2 linked regions of the Schizosaccharomyces pombe genome follow. The protein of the gene in region 2 purifies or fractionates together with the protein of the main gene of each other region. This does not show direct contact. Each region holds a gene or a part of one and is shown on either strand. Other genes may lie near its edges.

What was found.
Region 1: the proteins of nse1 (region 2) and mms2 purify together in Schizosaccharomyces pombe (affinity purification with mass spectrometry, with the first as the bait; one study listed by BioGRID). This does not show direct contact.

The regions. Positions count from the first base shown.
Region 1 is NC_003421.2:1,364,673-1,368,221, reverse strand, and holds mms2 (ubiquitin-conjugating enzyme Mms2), read right to left. Parts: upstream 1,627-3,549; 5' UTR 1,602-1,626; coding exon 1,591-1,601; exon of another isoform or gene 1,544-1,590; coding exon 1,405-1,543; exon of another isoform or gene 1,242-1,404; coding exon 1,116-1,241; exon of another isoform or gene 1,008-1,115; intron 938-1,007; coding exon 858-937; intron 809-857; coding exon 745-808; 3' UTR 517-744; downstream 1-516. Other genes in the region: protein mix23, read left to right, coding at 1-429; Hsp20 family protein, read right to left, coding at 2,581-3,000; NatA N-acetyltransferase complex regulatory subunit Naa15, read right to left, coding at 3,354-3,549. UniProt on the Schizosaccharomyces pombe protein: Has a role in the DNA error-free postreplication repair (PRR) pathway. Lacks catalytic activity by itself. The ubc13/spm2 heterodimer catalyzes the synthesis of non-canonical poly-ubiquitin chains that are linked through 'Lys-63'.
Region 2 is NC_003421.2:1,191,801-1,196,577, reverse strand, and holds nse1 (Smc5-6 complex ubiquitin-protein ligase E3 subunit Nse1), read right to left. Parts: upstream 2,592-4,777; 5' UTR 2,382-2,591; coding exon 1,803-2,381; intron 1,755-1,802; coding exon 1,635-1,754; 3' UTR 1,161-1,634; coding exon of another isoform or gene 846-1,160; 3' UTR 555-845; downstream 1-554. Other genes in the region: protein Hsp10, read left to right, coding at 846-1,160; gpi2 (pig-C family GPI synthesis protein), read left to right, coding at 3,507-4,105, 4,164-4,311, 4,358-4,527, 4,584-4,641.

The sequences.
Region 1 (3,549 bases), 170 kb from region 2:
GACGATACCATCCAATTATCTCTTAATTCAGCAAAATGGGAATACCCAGAAGGGAAGGTACATGAAACCCAAGAAGAGCGTTGTCAAAACGTAAAGAAAAAGTTGTTCGAAGGTTGGTTAAGTCGGGATCAATTCTTAAAAGAATGTCAAACTATTGTACGATCACAACTTGATCAAGATCGAAATACTTCCAAATCACCCTTAAAATCACAGCAGCAATTGCCTTCATCATCAACGACTCAGGTTTCCGAACGTTTGGATCCTTACGCTAAAGAGGTGCAAGTGCAATTATCCCCTCCGGAAGAGGTACAAATTGTCTTACAAAGTGAACTATCTGTCGAACAAATCATACGAGATCAAACGTGGGAAGTTCTGACAAATGCTTGTCCTGGAATGTTTAAGGATTGGAGAGACACTTATAAAGACTAATTACTTTTTGTAGCCTCAAATTTTTTTATGATTCTAAAAGAAATGTTTACAATAAAAATTCCGACACATAAATACACAACACCAAAATGTCAAATACAGGTATAGAATTAATATCTTTAGGTATTGTAAGTTATCATTTTGTAATGTAATTTGCATGTTTTAAGGATCGTTGATGTAAAGAAAGCAAAAAAGGAAAATAGGAATACACATAGTGTCGAAACTATGGATAATGTAAGCTAAGAAGGCCACCATCAGCGATCGAATAATAGGAACAATAGCTGAAAGATTCTGTACTATGAGAGTTCCTTTTTTGCTTTAAAAAAATGTACTACCCTCAGGGGGCTGAGGAAGTTTTCGGTTGGAAGAGGATGCCATTTCTCTAAAACATAAGTTAGGATGATCATTCATACGAAGTTTAATAGACATACTTTTTTAAATCTAGAAGAACAGTTTCCATAGAGTATTCTCTCTTCCAATGGCGAAGGCAGTCAATTTTGTGGGGATTTACCTAATTAACGTTAGTATGAACTGAAAAAAGCTTGATTTTTTTATTTCGCGTAAAATTAGCTTCTCTTCGTTAAGCCAACACCAAATTCTCATTTTCATACAATATACTGATATTTGCTATGAAAAGAATTTACAGAGAACATGAGGTATTTTACAAACTTTCTCTAATATACACATACTTTTCCTGTTTCACCATCAACTCCAGGCAAATTAATTCTAGATACGAACGTGACGATGGGAGGAGCATCAGGGTAATTGGCATCGCAGTGAATCTTCAAACTGTAAATGCGATTTTCATGAACGCTCTAAATTAATAACAAATTAGTACAAATTGAAAGTTAAAAGTATTAAAACAGGATAAGCTTCAAAGTGTATTGATTCGAAAGTCTTCATAAATTTCAAAGCTAGTCCCCGGTCATTTTTTTTACATCAATTTAACACTTGAAATATACCCCAATAGAAACATACATGGGCAGGTCCTAAAATCGTTGCATTCCAGTCGGACAATGTAATATCATCGGCGTTCGTCAAACCATATGAGCAAGAACTCTCTCCGAGGCCTTTTTCGCCCTTTTCTAGCTCTTCAAGTAATTTAAAATTGCGAGGGCTATCAAAATTAGTAATTGTTATCGACTTTAATATGTCTAATCATACACTTTTGCCATCGTTTGTGGTACTTGGTTAATGGATGCGGTGCATTCGGATCTCACAGTATCTTTGTTGATCATTTCAAAACAAGATCTGAAGATTCAAATTGGTGCTTTTATATTGAATTATTGTAATTTGAATCTAAATTGTGTCTAGATTAATAGTCCTAGCAGATCCGTGAGTACCTTCTCTTCCTTACTTGATTAATACATTACAAATACAAATGCATGATTACAGAGAATAAATTTTTCTAATATTCGATCAACGAAACTATTCGAAGAATAAAGAATACAGGATAGATACCAAAACCATCAATAATTACTGTAACATTTGGTTAAAGTTGGGTCTCGAAAACATTCGAACCAAGGCTAGCAATCTGTCAAAGTATATTTCAACAATTACTTTATAGAATATTCAATACTGGTTTAGTGAACCTGTCACAGGCTGCAATTTCAATATTTTTTCCCTACATTGGAAAAAGATAAAAAATCAACTTTTTGCCAAGGTCAAAAGTGAAGTCAAATATCCTTTGAACGATGTATTCTAAAAACATATCAAATGTAAAAATACAAATCATTAATTTGTTAGAATTTATCCTATTTCTGTAGTGTATTGATAACGTAAAACTTGCCAATATTTTATTTAATTTTGTAGCAGTCTGATATCCCATTTTCAGATAGAAGGGAGAAAAATAGCTTTTCATTTACTTTCATAGATTATGAATAGAACTCATAATATATTAATCCTCCGTTATTTAGCAATAAGCCTGATACTTGAGCAAATCGATGCCAAGCGTATGAAGCCATGCTTGAGAATATATAGCCGTTAATAATCAAATTTCTCTTAAAGGAGGGTAGTACTTTGGTTTTTATCTGTTACATGCAGTTTATCGGATGTCATGCAAAAAAGGTGGTGAACAAACATAAAACAAGCATTAAAATGCCAGGACCAAAAAAAGACAATGCTATAGTTTAAATTAGCATTGAGTATTTGAAACTACTGAATTTCAACAATTCTTGTCGTAAACTCAGGGTTCTTTTTCTTCATAACAATGCTTAGGATACCATTGTTAAGAGAAGCGTGTATAAGTTTTTCATCGACAGGCTGAGGAAGGGTTATCGTACGTGAAAAAGCACCTACACATCTTTCACTCCAGCGAATAAGAGGGCCCGCTTTTTCTTCCTCTGGCTTTTTACGCTCACCAGAAATAGTCAACTTCGATCCATGTAAATCAACTTTAAGGTTTTGCTTATCGATTCCAGGGACTTCAACATCAACTTCAATAGTATCCTCTGTTTCTCTTAGCTCCAATGCTGGGCCCCAGCACGATAACCATGCCGATCTGTTGAATTTCGATCGGTCACCAAATTCAAAAATATCATTCATAAATCCGTTAGTAAAAGCATCAAACAACATATTAAATGTGTTTACAATGAAATAAAAATTTAACTTTGATTAAGATGAGTAATAATTAATCAAAGCGTAAGCAAATTGAAGGACAATTGCGTTTCGGATATCCTAAGTACGTGTGGGTTGGTGATGCTACATATATATGCGTAGGCAAAAACCGGGATTTGTTAAATATACCAGAATATTCTCTCTGTAACAATATAATAAAACAAGACATTTCAATGGTACAATGGGGTGCACAAAACAATGAAAATACCATCTTTATATTATTTCCATGCACTTTTATTTTCCATACTAATTTGTTAAACAAAGTGGTTTGCAGCTTCTATTATTGTACAAAAAGTAAAAAACCTTTTATTTTAGTTAGACTGAGTTTTGATAGAGTTATAAAACTTCTCTGTAGATATCACAGTTGGGTCATTCTGTCCCAAAATTACTTTAGCTTGTTCGAGGTATTTACTAGCGGTATCGAAATTTTTCAAACGAGTGTAAAGTTGAGCCGCCAAAATGTAAGCACTTGGGTTTTTATCTCCATAGGGGAGTAATTTTTCAAGA
Region 2 (4,777 bases):
TTTTATATACTCTATCTTTTAATTGTAAAGTAAATGTTAGTAATTCACGACATAACTACACTTACTGTGATTTGCATCACATGTATGATACGTGTCAGTTTTGCAGGACCGTTCTATGTGTAACAGAAGTCGGGCCCAAACAACTATGAATTGGATCTTCCAGATTCAATCAAGCACATGTTTCCATCTACTTTTCATGTTTCTCACCTAGAAAAGTATCGACATAATTCAGAACTCAATTACGCTACCATTGATGAATCCGACATAGGAACAATTCTCCATATCCTAGAACATAAAAATAGAGAACAAGTACTCTATTTAAACGTTAAGTACATTTCGAATCTAAATCCGAGTACTATTATGTCAGGATGGACTACATTAGCTACAGCGCTACAAGCGGACAAAGCAATTGTCAATGATTATATTAAAAACAATAATCTAAATATTTGAGAACATATGACTTATCCTCAGATTTACATAGAAAATCTTGGGGAGGGCAATGTCAGCTATACTACACTATATATTAAATCACAAGGAAAACTCACCGCAGTTCTGCGTGTCGTTAAAACAGATACCAAACTGCGTAGTTAACATTATTAAAATATAGCATATTGGAGCCGAATCTCGCATTGTGTTTTACCGGAACCTTGAGTATTAACGCAAAATAAACTTTTGGTAGAACTTTCCAGATGATCTGCAAAAGATTAATAAGGAGGATCACAGCTTCAACTGAAGCTACTGAGCACTTGCCCAAAACGAACAAGTTTTGACGGAAATATATTGGCATTAACCACAGTTTTTGTATTTGTTAGGCTTTTTTTTAAAATCATTTTGCATTCTTTCACATGGCTACCAAACTGAAATCCGCCAAGTCAATCGTGCCTCTTTTGGATCGTATTCTGGTTCAACGTATCAAGGCCGACACCAAAACCGCTTCTGGTATCTTTCTACCTGAGAAGAGCGTTGAAAAGTTATCCGAAGGTCGTGTTATTTCCGTCGGAAAGGGCGGTTATAACAAGGAAGGTAAACTGGCTCAACCCAGCGTAGCCGTTGGTGATCGTGTCTTGCTGCCTGCTTATGGTGGAAGCAACATCAAGGTGGGCGAAGAGGAGTATTCGTTGTACCGTGATCACGAGTTGTTGGCTATCATCAAGGAATAAATTAATTAATGGGTAATTTTTTCTTCGTCAGCCACTGCCTATTAAGCATACTAAAAAAAAAGCTGTTGGACGCAAAAACATCTTTTGTTATTGTTCTTGCAGCAAATTACGATAAACTGGTACAAGATGGCTTTTTTAACAGCTCTAATTTTAAGGACGATTGCACTCAGATTTAAATGTGATGTAAATGCGGACATTTTTAAAGAAAATGACAGTGATTATGCGTTTGATGATCGATGTCATTTCTCTTTTATTTTTTTGTAAAGAAGATTTTGAGTTCGTGTTTTATGAGTCTAACCCTTCACCTGAATTTTAACGATTTCAGTTTAAAATGCGAGTGTTCTCCACATAGTTTAATTACGAACCCTTTTTTCCAACATTAAAAACTGTTAATTTTATAAGTTTTCTATATCCTTTCCCAAGTAGCCCAAATGTATAAACAAGTAAAGCGAACACCAGTAGGTAGTGAAAAAATTACCAGCGTCCTATAACGGTCGCATTTGCCCATGGCGTGTTACAATTTATACAATTAACATGAGCTAAATGCTTGCAACAGTAAACATGCAAGCAGTAGCCACAATCACATACATATCCCTATAAGGTATTCAGTTAGTAAGTTTGCATTTGTGATATGTATCTTACAGCAATTACAATTTCGCGACAAGCGTTGCATTCGTATAAATTGCTCTCGTATTCGTTGTGTAAATAAGCATCCAATTCAGCTAACGCATGATTCGTAAATGTCCAAATACCCTCTCTCTGTCTTAGCCATCCATCACGTTCAAACGTATGTAAGTGAGACTCAATAACACTAGGTGCCAATCCCATTTCTTTTCTCGATAATTTTTGGATTTGCAGAGTCGTTAATGAATATTGGTAATCATCACACTTCATGATCCATTCGATTATCTTTCTCATAAGTTCTATCTGAACAGGAGGGTAAGGAGTAGCCATTTGGGATACTGGGTCTCCAGATAAATTCTGAAAGTGCAGCGTTAATCTTCCATCCAGTTGATCCTGTACTCGTTTTATCTTAAAATCGAAATTGTGCAAAGAATTGTTCAATTCATTTATTACATCTTCTACAGTTGCCGTTTCTCCATACTGCTCTTGAACAAGTTCACGAACTTGTTCATTATCAACACCAGCTGTGCGACACATTATATATTGAAGAATGAATTTATGCTTGTCAGATAATCCATCTTGTCTCTCTTTCTCCATACCGTTTATTCCTTTTTTTGTATTTCTACTATTTTGATTACTAATTGACGCGTTAATTGACCAATGCAAATTTAAACAAACACGCACAAAACGCCTAGCTTCCTTTCAATTTTTTATCAAATTTTTATGGTCGTTTCGATTTTTTGTCTTAAAATAGTCCGTTCATATATTGACAATCATGAAACATACAGTGTAATGGTATATGTTGGTAGTAGATGAAATCAGTATTCAGTGTGAAACAAAATTTGATTACCATTAAATACGCGCAGCTAGAACAATTTGTGAAAAGCAGCAGATATTCCTTTCTTTTTTTTAAAAAAAATTTATGCTATATATTTTTGTGAAATTTCTTTCTTTATCCTTTTCTTTCTATTGTTTACGCACATAAACATGGTTAGAAAACATACAGATGCAAGCAATGGAACAAGAACATTTATTATATTTATTTTAAAAAAAAAAAAACAGCATATTTTTCTACTGATCATCTTATTGTACCACGCACATTTAGCTTTCAAGTATTTTATAACACTACGAGTTAAACGTACATCAAGAATAGGAAACTAAGAGATAACCTTTTGCAGTTTTTGAATAAGGGAAAGTTAGAAAGAATACACATATTTTTCGTAAAATGTAAACCCTGTTCGTGAAAGTTTACTTTTCGTTGAATTTAGAATAATTGTTTATAATTAATGTTGACTTATTAGCTTACTAGAATGCTTGAATTCGGGTTTATAAGAGTTCAGTCGTAAATTTTATCACTTGAATTGTCAATTGATAGATTAAAGTCCAATTGCGAGTATGCGCGATTGCAGATTTCATGAACAACCCTATATTCAGAGTCATGCAGTTAAATCATTTTCTTGGGAATAAAAACTCTTAACGATGCTGAATGTACTTTTTAAAGTAGATATATATGAATTAAATTAGGAAAGTGTGGTTTATTTGTTTGCGGACCCAAACATACAGTACTAGTCAACTTATATTATAGTCAGTCGATGTTAACCAAATCCAACTACTCTAAGAACTGTTGAAAATACGGTATTGGAAGCAAATTCAGCTTAATTTGTATGAGAGTTTAGGACGAATGTAGTTATTTAGTTGATTTATAAATTACTTTAAAACTGAATGGATGAAGTATGTGCTGCTCCAGCGCCCAAAAAGATGGTCGCGAAATCACTCGTCTTGAACACGTTCAGGAAAGCCTCTGTAAAAGAAGTTGTTGAACTAAAGAAACCTTGGAAAAAGGTTTTATGGAGGAAACAAGATTACCCAGATAACTTCATTGATGAATCTTTTTTGAATGGCTTACAACGAAATGTTAACATTCAAGTCACTGACTTTTGGTCTTTAGTGGCCGATAGTTTACCTGTCTCCCAGCATCTATCAAGCGTAGTTATATTTGCCTCGGTTTTCGTTTCGATCTATAGGAACCAGTTATCTTGTGCGCTTGTTGGTTTCGTGTCAAATGTTTCTGCGGTCGCGGCATTCATTTTGTGGGATTTTGTGTTGAGAAAGCCTTGTAACAATAGAACTTTTCCTAATTACATGGGGATCGTTAAATCTTGTATATTAATTGTTCTTACGCTTGCTGGTCTATCGCCAATTCTAATGTCATTAACAAAATCTACCTCTCCTGACTCAGTTTGGGCTATTGCTGTTTGGCTTTTCCTTGCGAACGTATTTTTTCATGAATATACGACGGAAACTATCAGACCTCATGTCAGGTACGTCTTTGGAAACTTCATCGTAATTAATTCCATTTCTAATTATTTTTCTTTTTAGGCTACACAATTCTTTATCAACAAATGCGGCGCTGAGTGCATCTGTTGTTCTAGCTTCACGACTGGAAAAGTCAATTAATGTATTTTTTTTTATTCTTTTTGCCGTTCATTGGTTTGCACTATTCCCCATTTTTCGCAAATACATTCATGTAAGAAGCAATTTATTGGCCTTTTCTTTTATTTAACCAATTACAGGTTTTCTCTTTTTACGCTGACATGCTTATGACCCTCGTATTGATCATAAGTGCATATATTGCTTTGAATGCTGTTGCATCTGTTGTTATTGCGTTTGTCTTTCTTTCATTAATATTTTTCATTTCGTTTATATGTCCCATTTGGTTTATTAAGCTTCAAAGATTTAAAAAGTATGTAATTATTTTATTTTATTATTTCTTTCTAAATTCTCACATATATATCTTAGTGAAATTCACGGTCCCTGGGATATTGCATTACCAAAGCTAGGTCCAAGTAAGGGCTAGCCTAATTCGCGAGCTTGCTTTTAATTGACTACGTTTTGCGAAAAAATATATTATTTTTTTTACGACTGGCCGTCTTTCAGTCTAATCCTTCATGATGGCATGACATGTCTTGTATCCAAACTTGATTTCCCTCTCT